2 linked regions of the Drosophila melanogaster genome follow. The protein of the gene in region 1 binds, or shares a complex with, the protein of each later gene. Each region holds a gene or a part of one and is shown on either strand. Other genes may lie near its edges.

Region 1 (4,620 bases):
ATTTCGAGCTTATGGGTGCAGTTGGATCCGCTTTGAGATCCCCAATAGTCGACATGTCCACCAAGCAGGCGAAATTCGTTGAAAACACCATTGCCAGCAACAAAGTGGTGATATTCAGCAAGACCTACTGTCCCTACTGCACGATGGCCAAAGAGGTGAGAAAGTTGCGAGACCTTGAAAAGTCCCAAACAGTGATAAACATCTTTGCGTTCCAGCCCTTCAAAAAGCTCAATGTGGACGCCACCATAATAGAACTCGATGGAAATCCCGATGGCAACGAAATTCAGGCAGTTCTGGGCGAGATTACCGGTGCCAGAACGGTGGGTGCACTAAATATTTTACATTATAAAGATTAATTATCATTTGTAACCTGTGTACTGTGTAGGTTCCCCGCGTCTTTATCGATGGCAAATTCATTGGCGGTGGCACTGACATCAAACGAATGTTCGAGACAGGAGCTCTGCAAAAATATTTCCAATAAATAGTGTTCTTACTCTGTTCAGAACTCCGTTTTATGTAAAAAGTTTGTTAATCTTCAAAGTCCTTAATAAATGCTTTTAAAATTTATGTTTTGCGCTTATTGAGATTACATCGTCTTCTGAGTAATGGGCAAAGTGTTACTAATACCATTCATTATCCGTTAATAATTTTTATGATTGTAGTTCTACGGATCTGTTAGCATAGATATCACAAACATAAGAATATCCCCTTCAACTGCGCCCATGTGAGCAACAGTTTGCAGTTTTAACTGATCTGGCAGCGCCGTAACTGCAGTAAATAAAAAATTGTTTACAATAGTATTTAATAAACTGAATGATGGCTGATTTGGTGAGCGGTGAAGCTTCTGAATCCGACGAGGAGCTGCAGGAGAAGAATAAGGTTGTTGAGGATATCATTTATAAATAACAGTCCAATAATAAAACCATTTTGTGACAGATTTTTGCTGCTGAAATTTCGGGCGAAGCCTCCGAAGAGGATGATGAAGACATTTACGAGCAAGGCCGAAGCAGCAACCAGGTCAACAGCACGGCTTCCATTTACCGGAATAATCTGCTTCAGCGGAAACTAAGTATGTCACCAATTCTGTGCCTTCAAACATTTCAACTTAATGCCCTTTTCCAGTCGAAAACAACATTGCCATTTGGAGATCCCTTACCGCTTTCACTCGCAGCTTTGTGTTGAGTGCATCAAAGCAGCTCGTAACCACTGATCAAATGCTCATCAAGTCGCAACATAGTCTTCAGTCGGCTCACACATCCCTGCAGCAGGCCCAGAAGAACGCCCAGGACCTGCAAAACAGGGTGGCTGATGTTATTACCAGCAACTTCCTCCCGCACATAAGCATCCAGAAGGCAACCTGACTTAGACGTATAGTGTATTTGCTGATAAACGATCAAATCTAGGCTAATCCTCTGTATCGGAATTGGGCGCATAGACCTGAGTGTTGGGTGAGGGCTCCCGCGGCACGTAGGTCCTCTGAAAGCAACGTGAGAAGATGGTTCGCACCTTGTTAGGGCGCTCAGGTGACTGGGGTATAGTTTCGTCCTCGTCGGAGGAGCTTTTCGCAGGTTTAGGTTGTTGAGAGTCGTCTGTGTTGATAAAGCAAACCTCCGTGCTGTTCGGCGGCTCTGGAGCAGGTGCCATGCTGGCCTCCAAAGCGGCATCCGCGGCTGCCAGCATGAGAGCCTCTTGTTCCGCCTCATCTTCAATCAGAACCACAGTGTCCACCTCGGCTAGGATGCGAGGGTGCTGAACAGATGGCGCCTCCGAGTCCCGGAACTGAAACAGTGGATTATCTAGGCTCGATTCTAATTGGGTCTCCTCAACTCGCCGTTTTGGCTGCACTGCAGCCGGTTCCGAAGAGCTGCCTTTGCGTTTGTTGGTCACATTCGGCTTCGAAACGCTGCTCTTTCGCTTTGCGGCCGCCGCTCGTACATCCTCATCCTGCACTGTCAGATCCTTTTGACAATAATCTTCCGAGAAGCTTATATCATCGGGGGATAGCGTGGACATGATCAGCAAGCATTCAATCTCGCCATGCTTCTTAATTTTGAGCAGGAAAGGCATGCCCGCTTCGTCGAACTCCAGGGTCAGCGAAGCATTTAAGCACTCGGCGAAGAGGAGAAATGCTCGGAATTCCTTAATGCAGAATGTAATGACCGTCTCCTTCGTTACCTGGTACTGCTCAAATTCACTGGGCTTAAGTTTCAGCTGCGTGCGCATGAACTTATCATTAACTCGGGCTCCTTCTATGTAGTTTTTGGCCACCACACTGCCCGAGTTTGCCTCCAAAGTAAGTTCCTCCTCTGAGGAGTTAAAGTTATTGGATATATCCGTCAACAGCTTGTGATCGCCACGGATTCTGAAATGTTGAGTAGTAAATTCGGATTTATATGGGCATAGTTGTTTTAAGAGAAATAAGGTAAGGAGATAAACTTAATAGTTATCCTTAACACAAACCAAAACTCACATATTCGGCATCTGATCGGTGTTAATGTTTGTGTTAATGTTTTGGTCGTCTATGATGGAAATGGTGGCCTCCTTTGTGGTCTCCAGCTTACAGCGGAGATTCACCTGCAGGTTGGTCTGGTTGTCCAGCAAGTTGAGTTCACAGTACTCCACCTGGAACATAATATTCTTAACAACTAATCCCAGTGAGCAGACTTTCGAACTTACCTCATTCATGTTGCGGAACACGGCCAAACATCCCTTCATGGAGATCTTGCAGTAGAAATCTGAGTGCGGCGGCATGTCATACACTTCGAACATGGATCTTTTGAACGATATGCTGCCCACTGCGGATTGGGTGGCATTTATGGCCCGCATCTGCAAGGATTGCTGGTCGATCTCGATGAACATCTCCTTGCCCACCTTGGACAGCGATTGTACGGCTTTGGCGATGACTTAAAAAATGAATTCTTTTAGTTATCAATATATTTTGCTGTTTATTATGTGGTACCTCTTGCATTGCTGCCCTCTAAAGTGTATTTCATTGGCAATATTTGCACTATGTTTTTGGTCGCGAAATTCGCGCTGAAATTTGTAAACAAACAAATTAGAGTGATAGTAGTCGCACAACAGGTATGAAAAATACCAACAAAGGAATTTAGTTACCCATTTATGCATTTTGAAGTAAGTATGTACTATTTTTATATTTCAATAATTTCTTTTATAATTTAAAGCAAAATATTTCCATATTGACAATTGTCCGTAAAATAAATAAATTTAAATAAGTTCTTCAACCCGATGTAGTTCCAATGTAGTCTGGTCACACTGCGGCATGCCGGTTCATCAACGAACGCCACATCAGTTCTAAATCAAATTAAGAAAAACTGGGCTAAAACCAGCCGAAAACTGGTGAAAAGTAAAATATTTGGAGAAGGAAAGCCTTAAGTTCCTCTCTACGCTTAGTATACGTAATGTGCGTGGTTTAATCTACGTTAAAACAAGTGGAAACCATGTTACGTGCCGTGGCTTTGTGTGTGTCTGTGGTGCTCATAGCACTATATACGCCAACTTCTGGGGAATCCAGTCAGAGCTATCCCATCACCACGCTAATCAACGCGAAATGGACGCAGACGCCCCTATATCTGGAAATCGCCGAGTATCTGGCCGATGAGCAGGCGGGCCTCTTCTGGGATTACGTTTCGGGGGTGACCAAGTTGGACACGGTTCTCAACGAATATGGTTTGTGTTTATAAGTCATGGAGAACCCGCATTAAAGAGCTTTTATATTCTCCTCAATGTGAATCGAATCCATATAAAATCAAGTAATGGTTCGGAATATAAAATCACCTATTCCCAAAGCCCTATAATGTGATCTTTTCCCAAAGGGTAATTTATTTTTCTGATTACGTTTTCGCTTTTCAGATACCGAGTCGCAACAGTACAATGCCGCCTTGGAGCTGGTCAAGAGCCATGTGAGTTCTCCCCAATTGCCCCTGCTTAGGCTGGTGGTATCCATGCATAGCTTGACGCCCCGGATCCAGACCCACTTCCAGTTGGCCGAGGAACTGAGGAGCAGTGGCTCTTGTCAGAGCTTTACTTTTGCCCAGGTGGGTTCCGAACTGGCCTGCAGCTTTAACGAGCTGCAGAAGAAGCTGGAAGTGCCGCTCGCCAAGGATAGCTTGGATGCTTCTGTTGTCACCTACAGCTTTGATCACATTTTCCCTGGCAGTGAGAACAATACCCGCACTGTGGTACTATACGGCGATTTGGGAAGCTCTCAATTCCGCACCTATCACAAACTATTGGAAAAGGAAGCCAATGCTGGCCGGATTCGTTACATCTTGCGTCATCAATTGGCCAAGAAGGACAAGCGACCGGTACGACTTTCGGGCTATGGAGTGGAACTCCATCTGAAGTCAACGGAATACAAGAGTCAGGATGATGCTCCAAAGCCCGAAGCTGGTTCCACTTCTGATGAGGATTTGGCTAATGAATCGGACGTCCAGGGCTTTGATTTCAAGGTGCTGAAGCAGAAGCATCCTACACTTAAGAGAGCGCTGGATCAACTGCGTCAGAGGCTTCTTCAGGGAAACGATGAGATCGCCCAATTGAAAGCATGGGAGTTCCAGGATTTGGGTCTCCAGGCGGCCGCTGCTATTGCAGAAATACAGG
Region 2 (5,955 bases), on another chromosome or scaffold:
CACGTCACACCTTAAAGTTCTCGAGACTTTCTCCGTACAACGAGATTCCGTTTCAGCGGTCAAACAACTGCAATCGACGAAGGCAAGTGAGTGACTCAGTTGGTTGTCTTTAGTTTATTGTTTACTCACCTTGTTGCGCTATCTATTTCCTTGTTGTTGTTTTTGGAATTGTCTTTTTTCGTGATAAGAACCTTTGTGCTTCTGGTTGGATGCACTTGCCTGTCCCAAAACAATAATAGTTTCTATTAGTTTTAGATGGACGTTTTCAAGGCTTAGGAATATCGATCTTGTCATTGAACATTCAATATGGTCTTTGTGTATTTTATTATCATTTGTTTTATGAGTAAACTCGCCGCACAGGAAAGTAAATAAAAACCGAGCTGGCAAAGTTGGGATAACACTATCGGAAGATGGCGATGATTGCGCTTCGTCCCACTCGCAGCAGCGCTGATAGCCGGATTCCACCGAACATTTTACGCTAAATTAATAAAATTTATTAAAATTCATTTCTTGTTAAATTGAAGAATCTTAAAAAATACTTTTCAGTTTAATTTAAATTAAATAACCTATCTAAAGACCACAATCAGGCATGTTCCGGTAATAGTAATATTTTTTCGATTACGATTTGGCAAAATCTTTCGACTTCGTTTTTAGGTGCTCGGGTTTTCGCGGAATTTTTGCGATCGGAATGTTTTGTAAACAGGAAACAGATGTCTAAGCTGTATTCCAGACAATGGAGCGACCAATTTTTTCACAGTTTTAGTTCCGATGTTCGCACTGCACTTTGTCCATTTAAGTAATTAAATTAAATAGTATTATTTACGAACAGTACTTTCGACCCTCCTTTAAATTAATTACGAATTTTTTTTCATTACATCTTATATGCATTTATACTGTTTATACTGTATTGTTTCACCAATAGTATAGCAGTCTTCCTGATAGCTTTTGTCGACATAATTATGAACACTTGCCAAATCGAAACTTTTTGTTGCCAACTGCAAAATTTTGTTTGTCAAATTTCAGGTGGGGTCAGAAATTACTTTTGTTTAATATAACTAAGTCTAAAAATGATCTTATGGTGATGTGGAACATAAACATCAATTAATAAATATCAATAGACCAGCAAACTATTTTTTCCCCTTAGTTAATAAGATCTGATTTGATATAAAAAAGGCATTTACTTTTTAAAAGGCCGTTTTACAAATTAAAATTTTCTTACGAATTCGATTACCGGAGCATTCCCGAATAATATTGTAGAGAGCAAAACGGGTTGATGGTTTCTAAGGTTTCAACGGCATTACTGTTTTGACTATTCCCTACATTTCAAAATATATCAAAAAGAAAATCCTAAAATGTACAGTAGAAATTCAGCTTTTTATAGCTTACTTAAAAGTTTCGCAATACTTATTCTTGAAAACGCAACTCAATGTAAGTTTATGTATAAAGTATACTTCTGTATACATTAATACAATTATAATTGTAATTAATTAAATCACTATAATTATAATTACCATGCATATCGCCTACAAACCAAATGCGGTCTGCGGCGAAGGTAACGGAAGGCCCCAAATGCATCGTTCACATTCAAATAAACAAAGCATTCCCCATCGGTATCGTTATCGGTTTTCGATGTCGATAGTCGTTCGTAGCAAGACGCGGTCTCACTGGTGCACATTGTTTTCCGTCGCGTGTGAAAATTGCTGAGTGTATAAAAACTGTGCATACTTAGAGAAAACTTCTGCATTTGGTTGAAAGGTAAGTGCGACTGCTGCGGACGCCATGGAGACCAAAAAGCTTTGCAAAGGCGAGCCTATGGCGATACGAAGAAGTAATTTGACCACTGATTTTATGGGGCTCCGAGCTCAGACGAGATACACATACGCACACATACACACGCTTACGTTTCAAATAGGCACCAGCGAGACGGAAAACAAAATGTCGACCGAATTGTATTTTCCTCTATTACTTTTTCCCACCGATTTGTGAAGGTTTATGCCTTTCGAAGGCTCGGAAAAGTGTGGTAAATTTGTGCTTTCCCAATTAGAAGTTTTTGATTGAGTGACATCTGGGTTTAAGTGCACTTTTTTCTGAGGGCAATCTCCAATATTGATTTTTACAATGGCTGCCGAGGAGTCTCATTCATTTTCCAGGAAAATGTGCACAGAAAAGCTTATACCAAAGTGCATAGGTGATTACAATTCCAAATGAATGATTTTCCAAATAGTTAGTTGATAAATTTACGAATAGAATTTTCTCGCAAATCAATTTTGATCGTCTTTCGTGTAGGTTATCCACTGATGAATACGTATGTGTGTCTTTTTATTCTATTCGAGTTGGTATTTTCTTTTATTTGATAAGGGGTGGGTGGGGGTCGAGCGCATCTTGTTTAGTTTTACTTTCTCTTTTATTTATGCTGCAAACTTCAGCGGGTGGTGCTCCATCCATGCTAGCATGTATGTATGTATTTAGAGTGAGTGTGTGTGAGTTAGTGAGTGAGACTGCAAGGCAATCACGTTTCTTATTCTCAGCATATTTATTTTCTGATCAATTTTTGGCCTCTTTTCAGCACTTTAATATTCTTTCCTCCCCTCTCCAGCATTTGTTTGAATTTTAATATTTAATTGTTAACGTACATATGTACATAGATACATACGTTTAGATACGTTTCAATGACGCGAGGGTTTCAGCAAGAAAGCAGATACATATATATACATATTTGTGTAGCCATTATTTTTTTTCGCTTCTTTGTGAAATTCGCTATGCTGCTGTGACGTCATAGGTCAATTTTTAAAGAGAAAAAATAAACAGCTGATTGCCAAATAGGCAGCACTGTCGTGCGAGCTAGAGTTGCCCTTCCTAAAAGGCCTACTAAATGTCATAAAATAGCCCTCATTGCACTGAACAAAACTCAACCCGGAGAACTCAGTGACGTACTTTTTCTGAATTTTAGGGATTATTACATCAGTTTTTGTATGCTTCCTTCATTCCTGATGCCATAGTATTACTAGCTTTGTCAACTTATACAGCAACTCAAACAACCCATGTGTATGGAAAGAACAAAATATGGTAAGTACCAGTTCATTTCTGAAAGAACTCTTAAAAGCAAATGGAAAATCGCTGAGGTACTGCCAAATTTCTTGTTATCCACTAACCACTCTGCCACGCATAAACGTTTGAGCTCATTTTCATTATCAATAACCTTGAAGGTTGATTGAACTGCGAAAGGAAATATTTTGACCCCCTAGACGGGATATAATTTGATTTCCGCCCCCGGAGCCCCCTGGCAACACCCTCCCCGCCCCGGGAGCCAACCCTGGAGCCGCCCCTACACTTGAGCCGTACAAATCCTGTCTGTCGTTTGATGACTTTGTGTGCAAGGAGAACGAGGCAGTCTTTGTATCTGACTGCGTGCTTCATTTCGTCGAGCTCCGTTTCGTTTAGCCTGCTCTCTGCTCACCGCTTCGCCCACCAACAAAAATACAAATAAATAAATGAAAAGAAGAGCCAAAACACAACTCGGAACTCGCTCTGCGCTTTGTTTGCCTGGCTCTTCTTTCCCTTCCCCCTCCCTCTTCCGTTTTCATCATTCGCCGTGTGTATGTGCGATGGACGAGCGAGTGTGCTGTGTGTGTGGGTTCGCTGGCGCCCGTGTGTGTGTGCGCCTTTGTACATTGAACTCAAAAATTCGAACTCGAGAAGAAAAGAAAAGAGTGAGAACGAGTGGAGACCAAGTCGGATAACCGACCCATCCCCTCCCTCTGGTGCCGTAGTCCACACACCTCATTAACCACCCGAAAAGGGGTCCCGAAGTCGTCTCGTATTCGTCGTCTTCATCCCAACTTAGAACCCTTTGATCAGGTTGCTTCGTCTGCTGACCCAGATGACGTCCATCCCAGATCCAAGACTTACCTAAAATGTTAAGTGAGTGGGACGTAAATGACTCCGATCAAAAAATAAATAATCCGTGTAATTCCTAAGAATGAAATATTACGAGAATGGCAAAACAGTTTATTCGAAATATCAACTGACTGATTGGGTCGTCTCAAATAGGATTAGTGCTAACAAATGGCATTTAATGCAATTCCTCTGAATTAGGGTGTACTATAAACTGTTGAACATCTGAAATATTGAGCTTGGGTTAGCTCTTTTTCCCCTGTTCCATACAAATCGATTTTTATAATAAATCAAAATATTGCAATGACCATTATGCATTGTTGCATTTTTAACAATTGCGAATTCTACAGTTATTGGATAGCCCAGATTTCAGTCTCAGCGCTATGGTTATATGGAAAATGAAAACTATTTTGTATAATATTTGAGATTTAGCGAACGGCAACCCTAAGGGAACGCTGCGTAGATTTGGATGCCTTTTTAGTTTTTGGTTGCCCGGCTTGACTCTGTTTTTTGTTCTTTTTTCTCCCTTTATTTCCTGATCATTACGATCCTGCTCTGATCTTGTACAGTTCTTTGCTGACAAGATGAAGTTCCGCGCACTGATGCAGGATCCGCTGTACATGAAAGAGTTCCAGGCCATTGTGGCCACTTTAACCAAGCTGGCGAAAGATTGTGTGATGATTCTGGGCTCTCGGCAGATGCATTTTATCGTGAACGAGGATCAGAGCTCCGCTGCATCGCCCTTGGTTTGGGCAGGAATTACAGCTGAGGAGTATTTTCCGGAGTATCGCATGGAGGCTGCTCACCCGGATCAGGAGTACATAGTTCTAGGCGTGTCTTCGGCGAATCTCGGAAGAGCTTTATCTGTGCTTCGTGGTGGAGGCGTAAACAGCTGCAAACTGAAGCTTCAAAGAATTCAGTTTCCGTGCATTTCGGTAATAGCCTCGGTGCTTACGTCGTCTTCAACAGAAGCCCGTGAAGTGGTGCACGATGTTCCAGTGACCATAATCCCGGGCAGCGATTGGTCTGCCTACGTTGTACCCAGAGTTCCAAACTCACAGTTGGCTTTGGGCCTACCAAGCCTAAGATTGCTCAAAAGTCTCATTGACAAGCTGAAGAATATATCACCCAGCCTGGAGTTTCAGGTCAACGTGGACGGAGAGCTCAATGTAATAGCCACCTCTGAAATGTCCACTGTGACTAGTCGATTCCAGAAATTACTAATTCGAACTGTGTCAGGATCCCAGCAGGAAGCGTCCTGCTCTGTGGATTCAAGGAAAGCCTCGGCCTTCTTTGGAGCACTTCAACTCCCTAACGAAGAACTGACTATTGGCATTGACCGTGAGCATTCCATCCATCTGCAGATCGATGTACGACAGGATGTGGTTCTGCACTCTATTCTGCCAGCTGTTTGTATGTAGCCTAAGAGCTGGTATGTTTATCATAGCTGTAATAAATGCGACTTGATGTATTCAGGTGTAATAAACGTTCTCACTTAATTCTTTTCCAGAAAAACTCGTCGATGTTAATTTAAATTATCTTTTTGCGACCCTATCCGCATCATCATGCGTTATCGCTTGAACAATTATCTCTTTTACAACTAATGTAGAATTTTTCTTGTTAGTAAATCTAGCAGGATTGAACACGTTCTACGATATTCTGCGGGTCATATTTATTTATTTACATATGTATGTATATAAAAACACATTACCAGCGCTGTTTGTTTCTTCTTGCATATTTATTTTAAAATTTAGTTCGCTAGGACCCTTTTGGCTATTGATGCATTACTTGAATGTTGAGTAAAAATCTTCAATACATTTTTGAATGTACCTAATAATTCTTGGAGAGAAGCAACCTTTCACGTCGTTTGCAAGTAGTAATGTTTGCCTAAACGATATCGGGCCTTATCAGTGAACGAAAGTTGGGGCGGCTCTTTTTATCGTCGCTCTTCGCTGCCTGTCCCACATTCGTCAGCAGCCGTGGCCCCATTTCGCGTTCTCTCTCAGAGGCTCTATTTTACTCGCTCAGCTGGATTGCCCATGCACTTGCATGAGTGTGCAT

Evidence for each region. Proteins that work in one complex are often made in the same cells at the same time.
Region 2: Rad9 (region 1) and Hus1-like share a complex: the UniProt entries of both Drosophila melanogaster proteins name them as parts of the 9-1-1 checkpoint clamp complex.

What each region holds. Positions count from the first base shown.
Region 1 is NT_037436.4:18,869,492-18,874,111, forward strand, and holds Rad9 (Rad9), read right to left. Parts: upstream 3,063-4,620; 5' UTR 2,994-3,062; coding exon 2,960-2,993; intron 2,904-2,959; coding exon 2,677-2,903; intron 2,623-2,676; coding exon 2,471-2,622; intron 2,363-2,470; coding exon 1,507-2,362; coding exon of another isoform or gene 1,405-1,506; exon of another isoform or gene 1,362-1,404; coding exon of another isoform or gene 1,290-1,361; coding exon 1,188-1,289; coding exon of another isoform or gene 1,123-1,187; intron 1,070-1,122; coding exon of another isoform or gene 937-1,069; intron 880-936; coding exon of another isoform or gene 817-879; 3' UTR 554-816; downstream 1-553. Other genes in the region: Grx1 (glutaredoxin 1), read left to right, coding at 12-155, 216-320, 386-481; Blos3 (biogenesis of lysosome-related organelles complex 1, subunit 3), read left to right, coding at 817-879, 937-1,069, 1,123-1,361; Uggt (UDP-glucose-glycoprotein glucosyltransferase), read left to right, coding at 3,459-3,687, 3,871-4,620. UniProt on the Drosophila melanogaster protein: Component of the Rad9-Rad1-Hus1 (9-1-1) checkpoint clamp complex.
Region 2 is NT_033777.3:4,807,783-4,813,737, reverse strand, and holds Hus1-like (Hus1-like), read left to right. Parts: upstream 1-1,641; 5' UTR 1,642-1,755; exon of another isoform or gene 1,756-2,294; intron 2,295-2,950; exon of another isoform or gene 2,951-3,066; intron 3,067-4,463; 5' UTR 4,464-4,478; coding exon 4,479-5,315; 3' UTR 5,316-5,402; downstream 5,403-5,955. UniProt on the Drosophila melanogaster protein: Component of the 9-1-1 checkpoint clamp complex. Involved in both meiotic and somatic DNA damage responses.